Linked DNA regions of Drosophila melanogaster. The protein of the gene in region 3 interacts with the protein of the main gene of each other region in a pairwise test. Each region holds a gene or a part of one and is shown on either strand. Other genes may lie near its edges.

The links.
Region 1: the proteins of CG10265 (region 3) and CG3726 interact in a two-hybrid assay, tested with the Drosophila melanogaster proteins (one large-scale study listed by BioGRID).
Region 2: the proteins of CG10265 (region 3) and CG17625 interact in a two-hybrid assay, tested with the Drosophila melanogaster proteins (one large-scale study listed by BioGRID).
Region 4: the proteins of CG10265 (region 3) and vnd interact in a two-hybrid assay, tested with the Drosophila melanogaster proteins (one large-scale study listed by BioGRID).

The regions. Positions count from the first base shown.
Region 1 is NC_004354.4:5,915,206-5,920,139, reverse strand, and holds the start of CG3726 (uncharacterized protein), read right to left. Parts: upstream 3,044-4,934; 5' UTR 2,513-3,043; intron 1-2,512. Other genes in the region: Shmt (serine hydroxymethyl transferase), read left to right, coding at 3,671-3,877.
Region 2 is NT_033777.3:22,685,050-22,687,907, reverse strand, and holds CG17625 (uncharacterized protein), read right to left. Parts: upstream 1,060-2,858; 5' UTR 1,005-1,059; coding exon 576-1,004; 3' UTR 501-575; downstream 1-500. Other genes in the region: wfs1 (wolfram syndrome 1), read left to right, coding at 1-341; Gclm (Glutamate-cysteine ligase modifier subunit), read left to right, coding at 1,558-2,415.
Region 3 is NT_033778.4:14,992,014-14,995,851, forward strand, and holds CG10265 (uncharacterized protein), read right to left. Parts: upstream 1,823-3,838; 5' UTR 1,739-1,822; coding exon 1,499-1,738; intron 1,416-1,498; coding exon 633-1,415; 3' UTR 510-632; downstream 1-509.
Region 4 is NC_004354.4:589,064-597,057, forward strand, and holds the start of vnd (ventral nervous system defective), read left to right. Parts: upstream 1-1,978; 5' UTR 1,979-2,331; coding exon 2,332-2,888; intron 2,889-4,584; coding exon 4,585-5,243; intron 5,244-7,292; coding exon 7,293-7,994. UniProt on the Drosophila melanogaster protein: Probable transcriptional regulator involved in the regulation of the proneural AS-C genes and the neurogenic genes of the enhancer of split complex. Could specifically activate proneural genes in the ventral-most neuroectoderm.

The DNA.
Region 1 (4,934 bases), on a different chromosome or scaffold from region 3:
TTATACACATATGTGTGTATATTTATGGCTTCTTTTCTTTTTATTTTTTGTTATATTTTTCCGATTTGCCGTCTGCAGTGCAGTTTTTTATTGTTTGTTTTTAATTATAAATATGAGCTGATATCAGAGAATGAGGGAAAAAAAAAGTGGGGAGCTCAATGAAAAAGAAATGGTTGCAAAATCAAACCCTTTTTCGGCGAAATTGAAATTGAAAACGCTGTGAATAGATTTAAGGAACTTTGTCGGCATTTGACAAACATTATTTACGCATTGCAAATTATAGTTATCATTTTTCATATATAGTGCGCAAAACATAAACAACCCCAAAATTTACGTAAGCGAATTTTATTTGCCAACTACCAAAATGAAAATAAATAAACACATAGAGTAAACTAAACTTAAAGCTGGTATGACAAAAAATGACAACAACAAAATAATCACACACGAAAAACAATATTTCGTGTCAAAATTTGTGTCGTTTTTTGCTTTATTTCCTACTGCCGCATTGTTTTTCTAAAGAATTTTTATTTGGTTGCGGAATAACACGAAAATAAGTGTGATTTTGTTATAAATACTTCACGGCTTTATTTCGACTCGACTGTGGGAATACCCAAAAGTTTTTTACATGATATATCATATATTACGAATAATTTATGATAATGAAATCTAGATGCAAAGCTTTCAAATCTCGAAGCCCAGGTAAATATGCATTTATTCGAAATCGATTTGAAAATGTTTTATATTTCGAATTTGGTTTTGTTGGAATATCAATCGTTGTAGTTTTAGACTAATTTTAGGCTTTATTTAAGCGTTTCTCCCACATTTATAAATTAATTAATTATGTCCATAGGTATGTATATGAACATATATGCATATATGTATGTATATATTCCAAATTTGGGGGCGTGGCACGTCGGATGCTGACCTGCCCTTGTTTTTTTGCCTTTGGCTTGCTTGTTTGTTATCGCTTTTGTTCTGATTTGTTTTTGGACAATGAACTTGAAATTTGGAGCACGCGTTTCACATGTAATTGAAATGTGTGTGAGTGGGGCGAAGGCGGGTGGTGGGGGGTCGATGAAGATGGGGAGCAGAGAGCAGCGAACGAGAGAGAGAGCACTCACGCACACCAACACTAGCGCACAGAAGCCAGGGCCGGATCAGGGGGTAAATATTCGAGTTAAGTGCCATTAAATATCTTAAATGTTTTACGTAATTTTGTTGCTCAATAACCTATATATTTTGTTAACTTCATGTTCTTCTTGCAAATCGGTAGCTTGGTTCAAAAATTTCCAGATTCGCTCCTGATACGCTCTCTTCCTCTCTCTCTCTCTCGCTCTCTGCCCCCCCTCCACACAATCTTCCACACACTGATTCGCTGTTTTATTTTTTTTTGCGCAGGCGAATGCCGCTGTGAAAACAAAAAACCGAATAAAACAGCCGACAAAAACAAAAGGAAGGAGAAACGTTGACGGCGACGTCACTCAAATGCGATTTGCAATTTTAATTTTTGCCGTTCATGTTTTGCAGTTTTTGTTCATATAATTAAAGTTGTAAAAATGAATTGCCATACAGCAAAAAAACGAGAGAAAAGTAAATTGCAAATTGTAAATTGCTTTTGCCATAAAGGCGGAAATGCCTCTCTCAACAACAAAAAAACTCGCATTCAAATAGTGCAACAAAAAACTAAAAACAAATAAGCCGAAATCGACAACAAAAAATAAGGCTAAACAGGTGAAGAAGAAAACTAAAAGCCACAGAAATAACAAAAACCGATAAACCAAAATTTAAAACCAGCACAAAAAATAGCCCCAAAACTTAAGATATACAATTGTGTTCGAAATCGTAGTAAAGCTATTTGAAGCGCCACAAAAATTTACATTTTTTGTAAACATTTTTAAGCATCGACTATTATTTTGGGTACAACTGTAGCAGATAAACAACAGCCCGCAAAAAACCCTAATTATCAAGCTTAGACAAAAACTACAAAAAAAGCGAAAAAATCACACAAAAAATGTAAATTACTGGCCTATGAATTTAATTAATTTTTTGCAACTCTGTAGGTTTTTTCCCCTCTTTTTTCATTTTTATCTTGGCGATTAGTTGGCAGCAACAATTACAATAAGCGAAGAAAAAGCGCCAATCGTTTCCTGAGCGAAAAACAATTGTTTACAATAATTGCATGCGATTATTATTTATGTCAATTTCGAATATTCAGCTGGCAAAGTCAACAAACCCGGAAACCTTCGGCGAGAACAACGGAATTTTTATCGTAATATTTTGTTCGCCTTTTTGCATTCAACAAAAAAGAGCACGCACAAAACAAAACATGCAAAAAAAAAAAGAAGCACAAAATATATGATTGAAAAACAAAAACGATAAAAAACAAGGGGAGAGCGGCGAACAAAAACAGAAAATCGCACAAATAACACACAACTTTTGTTTGGCTAAAAATAAAACGACGTTCGTTTTGCGTGTCTTTTTAGCACATGAAATAAATAATTTGTTTTCTCACCTTTTCTTTATGACTTTTCGCGCTATCTTTTCTTTTGGCGTTTTTTTCCCCCCTCGAATTTCTTTTACTTTTCCTTTATGCTTTTTGTTTTGTTATTCGAATCGAATTGCACACGCAGCAGAATTGTGTCGAAAAAAATTCATTCATTCATTTAATTTCTGGCTTGCCATTTTTGTTTCATTTCTATATTTTGTTTTTTAACATAAAAAAAAATAATGCGAAACAGCGAATTCAAAACGCGCGCTTTTTCTTTTGCCTTGCGAGCGGATAACGGTAAATGCGCACAGCAATGTTTTAACATTAAACACTAACCACTAAATTGTCAGGAAATTCACCAAAAATAAATGTTCTGTTTTGGAATTGTTAAGAATGTTAGGCTCATGTGTTTGTTAATATTTTCCAGGAATTTTCTTTTAGCGGCGCAGCGAAGTGAAACGTACCGCGGAGGAGACGGATTTTTGAGTGAAAAGAATTGAACTTTCGTTGTTGCTTATATAGACTTTGGCTGGCAGCAATGTTGCTGGAGAGAGATGTTGCACTCTCCCAATCGGTTGGCAACTTAAACCGGTTCGCAGTACCAGCAATTTGGCGGGTACTTTAAATGCCTTAACGTTATCGCGCGTTTGATAACTACGTACATTTTAAGGGATTGAGAGAAACGCATATTATGATATAAAATAAAGTGTTAATATTAATTGAAGAGGCACACACGCTTAACATTTCCACAAATTGTAAATATTTATACAAGAATTGGTAGCTATCGCTAGCGTTGCCAGACGGCGCCAAAAGCTTCTAAATCCAGCGATCCAACTACCCAAACAGCTGATATCTGTTAGCCTGGTAAATGTTGTTTACCAACGTAACGCGTGTTTTCGCTTCGTTGTATTTTCGGTGTCGAATATTTTGGATGCTGGCCAAGAGATAGCGCAGCGATCGGGTCGGAACTCTTGGGCGGACTTATCACTGGGTCGGTCAGGGGTCACGGGTTATCGTTATCGCTTATCAGCCAGCGGCGGCGTCATCTCAGCGCCGGCGACTCTTCTCACTTTGCGGCAGTTCCGATTCGAACGCAGCCGTGTGAGTACTAATAATTACCAAGGATTGTTGAAAAACATCCACTAAAATCTATAAAATTCTGCTTATTACAGTTACAAAGACATGCAGCGGGCGCGCTCTACACTGACACAAAAGCTTCGGTTTTGCCTTAGTCGGGACCTGAACACCAAAGTTGGCAACCCGGTTAACTTCGAGACTGGAAAGCTTAGCGGAGCTTTAACTCGCATCGCCGCCAAAAAACAACCATCACCAACGCCATTCTTACCGGCGATCAGACGATATTCGGACTCCAAGCAGAGCACTTTGAAGGTGAGTTCGCCGGGAAAGTCCCAGGCAAAGTGAAGGGGAGGGTGGAAAAAGTGTGGCTAATTGAACCATTTGGGGGACTCGCATTTCGATTGCCTTTAATTCTTGCAGTGATCGCGGTGCTCAGAAAGTTTGTGTTTCGCTTCCATTTGCGGCTCCTGGCATGCCCGGCTAATCGCCATGTGCTTCATGCGTTTCATTCAGCCATGTGTTCCCACACTGCACTATCCCTACGTGGATGGCATGCCATCGATCCGCTGAAAGTGTTGTTTATAGTAGTATCATTGTTAAGTACCTATGTACATGTGTAGTTTAATTGAGATCTTATAGCATATGTACATATATGTACCGTATTTGTATCAGTGTACTGTTAGTGTATTCAAAACGTCGCCATGCGCCAAGTTTGAATCTTTTTGATTCACATTCGCTACCTCGGCCTGAAACTCGTTTTTGGGCCTACTCGAATTTCTCGGCTGTTTGCGCCCTATCGAGCATTGTTGTTGTCATTCTCGTTTGCACTTGTCTAAATATTTAAACTGATAACGCAAAAAAAAAAAAGAATCTGGCATTGGCCATTAAATCGAATTTCCCATTCGTGTGGGCAGATTTGTATATAAATATACATACATACATATGTATATGCATTTTGCACTCAACTTGTGGCCAGAAATTAGCATTCAATTTAGTGGGAATCACCAGTTTCCAGTTTTTGCAGCTAAAATTTTGCGTGTCCAATTCATTTCTGCGTTGAAAATAGAAGAATCTTCCAGGGATTATTAGTTAGCAGCTGGAAACGTTGAACAACAAAATGGTACTAGAGATACGTAATTTGCTGGAGGAAGCTACATACATATAAACTTGTCCATTTTCTGCCAATATTCTCCATTTCGACTATATACGTACGTTTCCCGATCTTTCCGAAGTGCGTCAGCTGCAAAGGGGGGGCAGTGTCCTTATCGTCGTCCGGCGACTTGAACTGGTGACCCAGACGGATGATAATCACTTGACGATAAGCGGATCGCAAATAGACGCGCTCTCCCATCCATGGGGGGTCGCATTT
Region 2 (2,858 bases), on a different chromosome or scaffold from region 3:
AGGTGGGCACCAAGAGGAGTGGCCGTCTACTGGGTCGTTCCACCACCACAGATGTTATCCTACGAGCTCACCATGACTTTGGGAACTTCACACGGCTCCTAAGCGAGGGCGATGTTGTACTATTCTATGGAATCCTGCACAATTCTCGGCTTTTGGCTGACAACGTGCAGGTGAAGCTGAAAACCATCGAGTGTGTGGAGTGCCGGTCGCGGGATTTGGGTACGGCCAGCATCGAGCGAGTGGTGGCCGCTTCACCCATGGATGCACGCCTCCAAGATTTGATGAGAGGCATCAAGTATTTGTTGAACGCTTTGTTGAATCCTTTAATTACGTTTAAGTAATTTTCATTAAATTAAAAAACACAGGAGTATGAGTTTCTTGTAATCTGCTCACCCCATTTTTTTTACTTTAATATAATAGATACATATGTATTTATTTAAACTGAAAAATATTTACGAAATTATATTGGTTGATTATGATAGTGTTGTAAAACAGCTTTTCAATTGTCGTTTTATTGGTTCTTAAAAATATATAAAGATCCTTATCACACGCATTATTTTTTGCTTTGTTTGTATTTAGTTAAATATGTTATCGGAAGGTAACTGATCCACACCTTTGACATTCCATTTGCAAGAGTCCCGAGTTGTGAGCGTCTTTTGTGGAGATGTTAGCGAATATGGAACAGGTGTTTCTAGGAAATCAACATTTTCCAGGCACTTTAGCGAAGCAAACAACTCAACATCCGGGTCTAATTTCAGTTCAATCTCCTCATGCAGCTCACACGGCTCCTTGCAGATGAACTGCTCGGGTGCGTTGACCAAGAACCGGACTCCCTCGAGCAGGAGCTTCCTATGAGCGGGATTATCCACTCCCAGCATGATCAGATCGCTTACGATAATAAGCTTGCAGCGTTCAATGCTGTCGTACCCCCGCTCCAGGAATTTACCAATGTACTTCTCCATGGTCAATAGCACCAACCAATCGCGCACAGCCCGTCCACACATCCTAGTTCTTCTATTATAATCTCTAAATCTCCAAATTGAACACTTTAAACAACAGTTACAACTGGAAACCGTTACAATTTACCGGTTAGATATGACATTTTAAGGCATACGTACTCAATAAAATTGTTTTATTAACCGGCTGCTTTTCCTTATTAAATAAATAGCTACCTAAATATATAAGCTTAAAATACAAATTTTAAATACATTTTCAATGGTCATGCTTTTTATGAACAATGAGGGCACTAGACTTATTAGTTGGGCAACACTGTAATTATTATTATACATTCGAATTTTAAATTGTATTTCATTTGGATCTAGTACCCCTGGCGGCGCATGGATACTTTTCGATAACCTTATCGAAGCCAATCGGCCAACGTCCATCACCAGCTGTCAGCAGAATTTATTTCTCTCTCCACACTTCGGTGCAAAGTGTATTTAAGTGGCCAAGCGGTCGGTGCTCGAGAACACACGCGTTTCACACACCTGAGAGGGCTGCAGTTGTCTGGACGGTCGCGAAAGTAGCAGATACCAAATAAGGAGAACACTTGTCACCATGATACCGACCATAACGAAGAAGTACCAGAACGTGGTGATTAGCACGGGCAACATCATCGCCACGGAACTGGGACAGCGCAAATCGAACGAGGAGCTGTACGACGGCCTGAAGATAACGCTCCACACCGACTCGACTGCGGAGCGCGTGGTGGTTGAAAAGGAGATCGACGAGCTGCATGGGCGGGTGCAAAGGGCCACCCAGGAGTTGACCACCCGCTTGACGGAGAATGGACGGAATGAGATAAGTATCGGTGCCAAGATATTCCTCAATCGCCACTCCACAGAGTCTGTGAATCAGGCGGTGGAGGAGCTGCTCCACATACTTAGTGTGACGCACGTGGACAATGTGGTGTTGGCCTACCACCCGAATGCGGTTGCCACCGCAACGCCGGTGGCCACAACCAAACCGCCCTGTTCCGAGGATTCCAACGTCAGCAGGGCTACAAACTGGAGCCAGCGCAATGGAAAGGAAGGAGTGGCAGAGCTGAAGGAACTGTACAAAACACTGGAGCAATATGCCCTCAAGCAGCAGATTACACAGCTGGGAATTGCCGATCTGGATGCGGCGGCGCTGGAGGAGCTACACAACAGCGCACAGGTTGTGCCCACAATTGCCCAGGTCAACCTGTCTACGTGCTGCGTGGTGCCACCAGAACTGCAGGAGTTCTGCACCGCTCACGACATCCAACTGAACACGCACAGCGATCCCGAGCTCCTGCTGCCCGTGGAGCAGTTCGACGGACTGGTCCCTGGCTACACAATCGACTGGACACTGCGTTACCAGGTGCATGTCCGCTGCCGGGGCGTTCTCACCGCCAAGGGCTACATCGTGGGCGCGTCGAGGTCGAGCGTTTAGTTTTAAGTAACTCCCACATACAGATGCTAGGCTATAGTTTTAATGTTTGTAATGTATGCTGTGTACAGTGGTGTACTTATTGTTTGTTATACAAAACCCAAATTGATGATTCGAAGCCGATCGATTCACTTTGCTGTAAACGATTTTAAAATACTTATTCTGAACATAAAGCGTTTCAAAAACGACAATTGGCAATTGGCTATTGTGTGTCACTGGCTTCCAGCTGCTGGGGGTTTAGCGATTTGAGCCCCAACCGGTTTGAATGCCTCGGCTACAAATTAAGTGTACGTCCAGCTGGTGTAATTTATATGCTCTGGTCGCAGACGAGTACTCTTGGTGATTTCCTTGTTGTGGCTTGTTATTTGCCCCAACTAATCGCTGTCTAGGCCTCCGCTTCTGTTGGACTCAAATCTAATTAAAGGCAGACGCGTCTCGCCCGACGA
Region 3 (3,838 bases):
CCATCGTCGTCAGCTGACCTACCTTTTAATTGGTACCGCCTCGGCAGGTGGGTGTGCACACGCGAATTTTGGATTTGGATTCGGCAGTGTTTCGAGTACTACAAAATATATATAACGCCGGGCGCAAGCACAAATATTTCCAATTACTTTCGACCGAAACGCGTGCGGCACCAAAAATCAACAAGCTGCTTCTTCTTCTTACACAGTGATGCCAACTTTTCAGCTACATAAATGGACAACATAAAAAAAGCTAGGACTGTTAACATTTTGTATGGAACATGTGATTACCGTCTTCAAAGTATTTAAACGGCATTGTTTGAGTGATATATAGTTTTAATTATTTAATATAGTTCAATACATTTATAAGCTAAATAGCCACCACTAGTGTATAGTCGATATATTAAATCGATAACGTTGTCGCATCAAAAGGTCACACTGCTTGAGCAAAAAAACCAAAATAAAACATTTAAAATTAAGCGATTTGATAATAAAGAGACTCGCTTGCTATTAAAGTTATAAACGCTATCCGGGAATTTATTAATCTCCATTTAAATTAAATAAAGTTATATTGCTAAATCCTCGCCTCCAGAGGCACATTTAATGGCACCATCCTTACACTACGGCGAATACAACTACGATTTTCTTACTTTGGTGCATCTGATGCCCTTGGATTGCAGTTTTCTCATGATGTCCAAGGTCTCTTGATTTTTGGTTGGATTTAGCTCAGTCGTGGCATTCAATTGGGTACTTGCTCGCTTCACCTCCACACCGCATGCTCTGAGTTTGTTTAGGATTTTCTGGGTGCCATCCAATGGAGGAGTTGATTTGCTTGTTATGGTAGGAACTGGTTTCTCGGGCGTCTTGGGAGGTTCTGGTACTTCAGATATCCTTGAAGAGACTGGTATAATAAGCTTCGATGCAGGAGAAAATTTCATGGGTACCAATTGAGATGTTGACTGCGTTGTCCCGGTAGCACGAGATTGCAATGACCTTACAGGATGTACAGGAGCTGGTGGTGCCTCTGGAATCCTTTCCTTTTTCTCCGTGTCCTGCAATCGCTTCAGATCTTCCAGCACAGTGGGCACCAGAATGATGGCCTTTTTCATCTTTACTGCTGGCGGTTGAGGGGAAGTCAAGCAGGCACGGGATCTGCGCTGCTGCTGGGAGGTCAGAATGGTACGTCGGGTGGTGGGAGGGCTACGCGGACGTTTCGCAGGCACCCCTTCCGGTTCCTGAGGCTCCTTGGCGAGCGGCACTACATCCTCCTTTACTATATTTTCCTTGGAATTTGTCTTTGGTATGGTCTGCACGGTGGGCTTGGGATTGGTGTACCAGCGTGGATCCTCCAGCTCTGCCTCCCAATCGATGGCCGTGTTGGTGTTCTTCTTAACCGCCTCCAGGTCGTAGATGTGAATCTGCAAGAAGTGAGTTCAATCAAAAGGATTCTCAGGAAGTTTTCAGGGCAACGCCGGATCATGGAGCTCCCTTAGCTGCCTACCTCCTGTCTGCCATTCACCAGTCTCGTTTCCCGATTGGCATCATCAAATGCCAGCGGTTCGATCGGCGTTACTATGTATTTTACTCCGGGGCAATCGGCTAGGTGGCGTTGGAACGATTGGAGCGTCATAAAGTGGCATTCGCAGCTGCGGCACAGCGTTAGAAGTCGTTTTTGGTCGTCGTATAGAACGTCGCCAAGGCGAATCGTCTTCATGGACTTTATTTTACGCGATCCATTCATTTTTTTTGTAGCCAATTCGCGCCAAGAAGAAAAATGGTATTAAAAAATTATTTCAGTTTGTTTTTGCATTCGTGCAGAGTGGCCAGACGTTGAAACGTAGTAGATGTCAACGATTTTTAGTTGGTACAAAATCTGACATAAAAATACCAAACAGTTGCTATTCATTTTGTTGCGCGCCTAAATTCAAAGCACACAAAAAACCAAATAGGAAAAACACATTACACATTAAAAAAAAAAACATTTAGATATAAGATTTGATAAGGATGACGATATATAAATGGTATAATAAAATGTTTGGAATAATTTAATATAAATATTATATAAATAATTTATGTTTATATGTAGTTTTGCTCAGATTGATAAAAAATAGATGAAAACATACTTTCACTATGTAAAATAGAACGATTTTTTTGTTTACGGTTTTTGGTCCATGAATCGAAAATTACTGGAAAGATTTTATTTGAACTGCTCCTGCTCATTTTTTGCTGCATTAATAGTAACTCTCTGCTTTCTTTTACATTGTCGAATAAGTGGACTAGCGTTTTCTTTGTTCTTTTTCCCGTGTTGGCTTTTGTTTCCTTTGATTAACGCCCATGCAATTGAAATTAAATCGCTTGCAAATGATTCGCAAGCTACCTAAAAAAAAATTGGGCAATCCAAAAAATGACATCGTTTATGCAGCCGGGGACTGCGCCATTTGTAAGCTTGCCATTTTTTCGACCAATGTGATATGGAGCCATATGGAGGGAACATTGTCTGATTTTGACTTCAACTCGAATGTCTGTCTAGTGTGTGTGGAAAACAAATGAAAAGGAAATCCAGCACTTTTTGCGTACCTACATATATATTAAATTTTTTTTTTTTGTTGTTGTAATGTTCCGCATAACGAGCACGGACCATGTCGAACCACGTGCAGCATAATCACCCGGCAGAGCGTAGGTGAGTATCGTTGGCATATTCTTGATATTTTTCAAACTGGCCCACTTTTGGTTGAATTTTCCTGCTATTCTTGCAACTTAATAAGTGAACTTTAAAGAGCCGCATCGCTTACAGCCCGGAAATTGTATGGATCTGTGGGTCGCAGCTCCAGCGGCAATTGGATGAAGTTGCCGATGCTGATGAGGCTGCTCCTGCAGTTGCTATTCCTGCATGCAATTAAGCCAGGGACGAGAGCGAGGCACAACTTGCCACTCTGTGTGTCCCAAAACTGCAAGCTGACCATGCAAATTACGTTGCCCACACTCATACTTGCACACGCTCTGCTACACACACGCATTCCTGTCGCCTCGTTTGGGGGCCTGCGGGGCTCCCCGGCATTTGAGTGATGCACCAAGTCGAGGAAGCGGAGAAGGTGGCCAGCTAGCTGGAACCCCATTGCCGCTGCCACTGCCACTACTACTACTACTACTAACTGCCACTGCCAAAGCTAAGTTAAATGGACCTGCGGTGCACTCGAGCAGCCAGGACGCAAACTACAGTGGATACCGCTTAAAGTATATAACTGTTATTATTTGTATTGTTTATTGTACTGATCCTAAATAGAAGATATTAGCTTCCCTTAAAACGCCTGACTGTGCTGTGATGCTTCTACACAAATTAGACACAATTCGAAACTAGCTTGTTGGCTGCTAACAGTTTGGATATAGCCAGGCACCACTGTACGCCGTGCATGCAGATTGAAGTGCAGACCATGTCAAGGTAGCGGCTGCAGCTTTGGCCAGTAGATTAAATTAAACGTGGCAAAGGAGACGGCGCCAGAAGAGGACGAGCTCCGTGGCTAGGTGGCTCCATGGCTCCATGGCTGCATGGCTCCGTGACTCCGAGGGCTCGCCAGCCAGCCAGCTTGCCAGGAGGAGCAACTGCAGCCATGCGATGGCAATGGCAACGGCAACGACAATGGCAACAACATTAAACGTGTTTACACCATGTCCGACCAGTTGATATGCCAACTGCCCCCCGACCTGTCCTGCACCCCACCACACACACACACACTCACTGGCACACACACACACATAGGGATGCGTAACCAGGCATGAACTGCTCTTGGACAATGAACACATGCCATGGCAGGGCATTACCACCTACCCATCTGTCCGCCCA
Region 4 (7,994 bases), on a different chromosome or scaffold from region 3:
TAACCAAAATTTCCCAAACATGCGCGTCAGCGCACGGTGCGCACGGTATAACTCTCCTGCTCGCACGCTCTTCCCATTGGCCAGGCGGCCATGACGCGCCCACTTGACGGCGACGTCGTCGTCGGCAGAGGTTATTACAAGATAAAATTCTACCCCCTCCACTTACCACCTCCATTCCCCCATGGGGAGAATAATGGTGCGAAGTCATGAGCGACAGTGGGGTGCCCACTTTTAGAGGGCGGATGCTCGTGGATAGGGATCATGGAGCTTCCTTCATATACACAACATATATTTATATATATATATATATATATATATATATATATATATATGTATATGCATATTCTGATATATGTATATAGCCCCCAGCCCATATGTAAATGGGGCCAGCCCCAACGGACTCTTGCCATGTTTTCAATTGCCTCGGGCGGATACCCCCAGTTCAGTCTGTCCTGTCGTTTACTGCTCGTGCTGATTATGTATATTCCCATACTTTACTTTCGACCTCCTCGCTCGCACTCTCCCTATCTGTGAGTGTCCGGGGTGTGTCCCGAAGCCACCTCTCAAGGAACGGCGCCATGTATTGGCGTTTGAAGGATCTGCACTAATCACGAGTTGGCTTACGAGTATGAAATCGAAATTCAAATTGCACGAACAGCGACACTCCTTGTACATAAGGCCCCTATGTCAGTGCCAAAGTGGTCTATAACAGTTCCGTTGCACGCAAGAAATTTATTGCAATTCCCAAAGAACGTACCGTGAAGTAAACTAAATGTCCAAGTATAATAGCATACCACTAACACGGCAGAAGAAAATAATGCCTTCGCAAAAATAACGTTCTTTCACCGGTATGGTAATGTGAGAATGCCTTTAAAAGGGTTTTCGCAGTGCGCCTTTTAAGTATTAAAATAATAGTTCGTGGTTCAAAATAAGATTTCGTTGCTGACTAATATAAAATCACAAATATGTGATCAATCCTCCCCAGATCTAATCATGGTTGGTACTCAAAATCTCAAAGTATTACAACCCGACTGGGATTTTAAATGATGAATTGATCTGATTCTTAAATAGCCAACTACATATAGAAAAGGCGAGAGCGTAATTCCAGAAAATTTTTCTTATCGCCCTCGTTCCTCAATAGGATAATGGCTGATATCACCATCTGATATTATCGTGCTAAATGCCGGTCACAATCGCATGTCTTGCCCTGTCCTGTCCTCTCCTTGGACCCACCGCATAGGCGCCACAAGTCGGGGCTGATGTTCCCGCTCCGGAAGTCCAGAGTTGCAGAGAGCTGATAATGATAAATACAATTAAATGACGCGGGGAATGCTGACAACATCAAGTGCAGAGCACTGCTGGAAGAGAACGGCCCAATCCCAGAATCCCTATCTGGGAACGTCAATCCGACGTGCCTGAGGAGGTTCGTGAGGCGCTACAATGGCCTCGCATCCACACTCACTCTCGCGCACACACAAGCAAACATACACAGAGGCTGCAGCACACACACACTCTCACTCAAGTGGCACTCTTGAGAGCGGCAGAGAAAGCAACAGGAAAGAGTTAGAGCGGGATGACGTGCGGCATAAGGACTCGGTTCACATCGTACGTCTCGCTCTGGCGACGAATGGTGGTTGGTTCTCTCGGTGGTTGAATAGGCCACTCACATTGTTGCCGTATCCTTGTTGAAAAGGACATAAGAAGCCACTTAGCGCGCCCAACAAAGCCGAGAGTCTCTCCAGTCTGGCTGTGTGCGTGTGTGTGTTTGTGTATGTGTGTGTGTGTGTGCGACTATCCGAGTATCTGCGTTATGTACCCAATGGCAGAGGGATGCAGATACAGATATGCACCACATACATAGTGATACCCAAAGACACCCCGAGCATACGACCTGGTACTTTTCTGCCGTTGGTTGTTGGGTTTTGGTTATTGGCTGTTCTGAAGCGACTTGGACTCGTGTTGAGTTCTTGATGCCTCGTTAGTTGTTGATGACACTTCAGTTTGGAATGTGTAGAGTGCGCTGCTCCGCGGACCCGTGCAACTGAGAAATCGAGAAACGACTCGCGACCCTTGAACTATCGAACTTTCCCGGTGATAAACTTAAACTTAAGCCTAAATCGAACTATGTCTGGAATTTAAGTTGCCCTACCAGGATACCCGCTTAATTCATCGCAGTGCTACCCAGTAACTACACATAAACATATTTTTTTTCCGTGCTCCGAACACCGTAAAAGCTCCAAAGTGGCGGAGAAACGCAAAAGTCCGCCCACGCCGCCACCCGCGTCGCAGCGTAGTAAATCAAACAGTGGTTCCCCGATATCGCAAAGCGATATGACCACGTCGGCGTCCTTGGAGAGGACCCCCTCAAAGCGGGATCGAGATCGCGAGCGGGACAACAGCAGCGGTCTGGGCAGCGCTGGCAGCTTGCCCGCATCGCCCCAAAGCGCTATCACGGTGAGTCCGTCCTCCCCAGCCACGCCGAAGCGCCCGCTGCGCACCTCAACGCCCTCGCTGGAGCGGAAGAGGGAGCGTGAGGATCGAGAGGACCGGGAGGATCGCAAGGAGCGGCAGGAACGGCACGAGCGAGACAGAGATCACGAGAGATTCGCCGCAGTCTTCAGCACCGCCAGCACCACCGTGCCCACGAACACAAGTTCCAGTTCCGGATTGGCGCCCGAACAGCTCCGCATTCCGACGGGTGCAGCCGCCTTCAGCGGATTTCCGGGGCTCCACAGCATGAGTAGTCTTATGCTTCCATCGTCGGCGGCTGTGGCCGCCGCAGCAGCGGCCCCGTTTCTGCCCTGGTCGCCCATCCTGCTGCCGCCGTGGAACCACGCCCTCCTACCAGCCGCCTTTTATCCGGCGGCCCTGCGAAACGCTTTGCCTGGGTAAGCACAAGGATTCCAATGGAATAATTAAAACATTGATACCTCTGGAGTGGTGAACACAAACCTATGATTCATATGTCTTGGTTACGAAAAGCATATTTTGGTGATACGTTGACACAAGTCCATTCTAGTTCTTCTAATTATGACCTCTGTTTTGTGGGCTATTTATAAACGCTTAAGCATTGGTAACACTTTGATGGCATGGATCTGGCCAAGATATGGATAATAAGGACATGCCTCAGATTGAAACAAAATTACTGACCACCGACAATACGTTTGCCTTTCATGGCTGACCACTTTGTAAAAAACAGATATGGTTTTCAAGGTTTTGGGTTCCCGATTAATTTTCTATGTCTTTCTATTAATTCTCCTAATCTAATAATTTGGAAGATTGGGCGTTGAAAGCAGAATCTGCAGAATACGCAAGACCATTAATTAATTCTCCTAATCTAATAATTTGGAAGATTGGGCGTTGAAAGCAGAATCTGCAGAATACGCAAGACCAGCCATACTTTGCAATTGCCTTCGCCTAAGCTCCGACTTAAAATCACACCCTGCGAGCCTCTGCCTCCATATTAGTGTTTAGATCCCATATAGCTGATGGACTTGTCCGGCTAATCCTGGTAGCTCTTTAAATTAACCAAGCGGGCACAGCGCGCAAGTACAGGACACAGGGTATAATTCCCCGCCTCTTTGATCTGGCAAGTACTCAAGGTCCTGGCGAATGGCGGTTGGGAAATTCTGGCTTGTTGTTCGACCCTGGCTTAGAAATTCCCGTAGGTGAGAGCCAGGGAAACCCCAATCGGGAATGACATGTGTACGACAGACATGGGACTCAGATGCCTTCGAGATACTGGCGTCACACTGTCTGGCAATGGGATTTCCGCTCAGGAGGACGGGGAATGCCCGTGTAGCCTGTCCATAGCGTGGGAAATTCGCGAGTCGGGGTCTTCGGGAAAACTCGAAATGGGAAAACCGGAAGCAAGCAAACTTGCGCCAACATGTGGCACGACCTGTTTCGACCCGTAAAGAGTCCCTGCTGACCTGTGCTGACCTGCACTGACCCGACCAGGTAGCTGCGATCCTTACGAGGCGGATTTGCGTTTAATTGTTGATGGTATTAGGCAAATCAAAACTCGGGGTCTGACCGGGACTAGGTGTCAATAATCCAGCGATTTGGGTGCACTTATTCAAAGTTAATTCCGGGGGAAATGTGCGCGTTTTCGGTTCCGAAGCATGCCTGCAGGATGCACACCCCCCACCTCCTTATCTTCTTAACAACGGCAAGTGCAAAAATCTGTGAAAGTCAGAGCGCTACAGGTAGTGCAGGTAGTTTCCTTTGCATATCCCGACCAACAGGGACCTCCTTTTGTTAAACCTTCCGGCCATTCACACGATTGACACAGGATGTCGCTGCAATAAGCATGAAACAGGGAAAAATCGTTCCACGTCCTCTAAGGAGCCATCTTTATACTCGGGGAGTCATTAATCACTCGATTATATGACAATTTGCCGGGACAATTAAGAAACTACACAGAATCTCAAGAAAAACTATTACAACTCATCTTTGGTATGCTTTTTGCCTTTTTTTCTTTAAAACTGTAGGCGAGTGCTCAATTGAAATGAGAAATAAACATTTAACTCAAATTTTTAGTGTTGAAGTTCAGTTAGAATTAACATATTGATCTCCTTGCAGCTTATTCGATGCAAAGGTGCCGTCGTCCCAACGCTCTGGCTTCCATATATCGGACATCTTGAATTTGGAGGGCTCTGAGCTGAAGAATGCAGCAGCTGCCGCCGCTGCTGCCGCCCACCATGGCAGCGATTTGAGTCACCACTCGGCCAGTGAGTCCACCAGTGGACATCGCGGCCAGGGATCTCACACCTCGCCTTCGGCGCTGTCGCCCACGCCAGCGGGCGTTTCCGCGGACGAGCACCACAATGGCAGCGGGACTGGGGGAGGAGCGGGAGAAGCGGATCACCACAGCACCACCGAGCATCACGCCCCTCCTAGCCATCCGCAGCAACAGCACCCGCACCACCAGCAGCACCACCACCCTCACCTCCTCCTCCCGCAGCAGCACCATCAGCAGGCGGTGGCCCCACTCCCTTTGGCGCACCATCAGAGCGGCGAAGCCCAAAGCCACGCCCATGCCAATGCAGCCGCCGCCCATCTGCTGGCCAGCCACAATGCAGCGGCTGCGGCTGCTGTGGCCGCCGGCCAATATCTGCCCAACCTGCCCAAGAACTTCCCGGGGAGCTTTGGCGACGAGATGTCCTCGTACCACCACATGGCCCAAACCATGCTGCAGCACTCGGGCAGGAGTGCGTGGATCAAGGAGAACGAGCTATACGGTGAGCGAATGTTTCAACTCATAAATGGATACGCATGTATCCATTTTCATTTGCTCCATTTCCAGGAGATAGCTCCTGGCCATATCAATAACCAAGTTAGAGTTGGCTTTTTGAAGAAGCAACACTTAAATGGCAGGTTGTAAGCAAGTCTTTGGATCCCAAACAAATATCCTTTTGAATCGTGGGTAGGCAAAAGAGCAACGAATTAACTTGGTTTCAAAATAGACTCATCAATGAAGTCCGCAGGAAGCTCCCTTTAAGAAATTTACAATTTTCGACTGCATTTAACCCCCGATTAACTGGCCGACTAATGATACTGTTCCGTAACTAACCACTCACTGCTCCCGAGAGCCAGAGAGTTGAAGCAGTCGAGCGATGAGGCAGCTGTATTTGCATACCCTGTGGACTCGACGGATTCACGTGCTTCCAGGGTGTGACAAGCTTTGTTTAATTCTGGCCCTGTTGTGTTTTATTTTCGTTGGCAGTTAACTGCGGATCGAAATGGGTATATAACTGGGAATCAAGGAGCAGGGGTTGGGCTTCCCCTTTAATCATGACTAATAGTTTGTATGCGCTTCACACTTGAGGATTAGCCCTGTTGTTTTTCTGGCAGTTGACGTCCTTCGTGTCCTTCGGCCAGGACATTCAATCGCTGCCCGCTCGATCGCTTCTTGTTGTTGCGGCCCAAACATTTCTCATCCTGGAAATTTATGGCACGCACTTCCGCCTCATCCCTTCCCACTTCTGTTATTATTCCTTTATTGTTTAGCTACAAATTATAGCTGCTGCCCACTTGCCGTTTTTTTATTTTCTCTTTTCTGCTCTTTTTTTGGGAGTTTCCACAGCTGTGAAGGAGTCGAGGAAGAGTCATTTTGATTATATTAAGTTATTAATTTGTTGAGTTGTCATGGTGAGCGCATGGCTTCCGTGGCAGGGCAAATGCGGCTAGCTCGGTGGGAGCTGATAGGCGAGCATTAGGAGCTCCTACGACCCTTGCATTTGTTGTTTTATCAATGTCCCACGGGGACATCACCCCGGGCAGGTGAATACACACATTAGAAGACATTTTATGAAATACATTGCAATAGGAATAGAAATGCAGATAGGACGCGTTCCGATTCTTTGGAATGCTGCCTTCGCAGCACTATATCCAAAAGTTCGAAAGCTAGGAAGAACTAAAGGGCTTCTTTTTGATTTTCTATAGTTACATGCCTCGTTTGAAGTTGCCTGAATACTGGCATAAGCCCACTTCTAATACCTCTGCAACCGCAGATCCCGCCCCAGAATATCAGAAATAGCCACACCCGGCGATAAATCACTAAATCACTATCTGTTGGAAGTTCGGAACTCTTGCGAAAGGGGGCGAACCGGAAGAGACCCGGCTACCATTGATGTGTTTGAGGTCTGGCTTTTGTGTCGTTGTCCCATTAGTATCCTGGTTGCTGGTTTTTAGTACAGGCCCAGGATCAGCAGTCATTCAGCGAGAGATCGAAGCGATCGTTTCAGGTAGACGACAAGGGAATACCCACCTAGGCATGTATTTTTGTATGTATTTGTGTGCGATCTCTGTTTGTCTCCGCCTAATTGGCGTTGTTAGGGTGAAGCTCGTAGGGGATGGGCAGGGGTTGATTTGACGCTGCGGACCATAAGGAGTGCATACATCTGGCATTTGACATTTGGATCGTTTCCGACCACAGCTTCATGTTGCGCCTAATCCAATTGCCGTAGTTGCGATACTGACTTCCCCCTTTTGTCCCGAATTCTGCATGATCACTTGGACGATGTGGAGGGGTGTGTCGCTACATTAATTTACGGCTAAAGAGGTTTCTCAATTGCTGACAAATTCCCACCCAGGGCTCGCACCCTGCCATTGCCTTTCCATTCTGTAGGACCATTGTGAAAAATGCAAATAAATAAATGGCTATCCCAAGCAATTTATTCCTCAATTAGCAGCATATTAAGAAGGGAGTTTTCTCCCGGTTTTAGCCATATATCTACTACGAAGAATTAGCACATTAACCAAAACCTTGATTTCCTCTTTGATTTCAGGTACCCAGCAGCCCGCCAGTCCGGATAGCACCTCCCCAGTTACCTCGGAAGTGTCGTACACCTACATTGGTTCCAACTGCCAGACATCGCCTGCCCTTTCCGGCGATTACAAGAGCTACAGCCGGTCGGCCGATAGCGATGCACTATCCGTGGGCGACGCCCTGCACACCCTCCATGGATCCTCTGGTAATGGAAGTGCCGGAGGCGCTCCGACGGCCCATGCCCTACACAACAACAATAATAATACGACAAACAACAATAACCACAGCCTGAAGGCCGAGGGGATCAACGGAGCAGGCAGTGGTCACGACGATAGCCTCAACGAAGATGGCATCGAGGAGGATATCGACGACGTGGACGACGCCGACGGCAGTGGCGGCGGGGATGCAAATGGATCCGACGGTCTGCCAAATAAGAAACGGAAGCGACGAGTCCTGTTCACCAAGGCGCAAACATATGAGCTGGAACGTCGGTTTCGACAACAACGTTACTTGAGTGCCCCGGAACGCGAGCACCTGGCCAGTTTGATCCGCCTGACGCCGACCCAGGTGAAGATCTGGTTTCAAAACCATCGCTACAAGACGAAGCGGGCGCAAAACGAGAAGGGCTACGAGGGTCATCCTGGTCTACTGCACGGCCATGCCACCCATCCGCATCACCCCAGTGCCCTGCCATCGCCCCGTCGGGTAGCCGTTCCAGTTC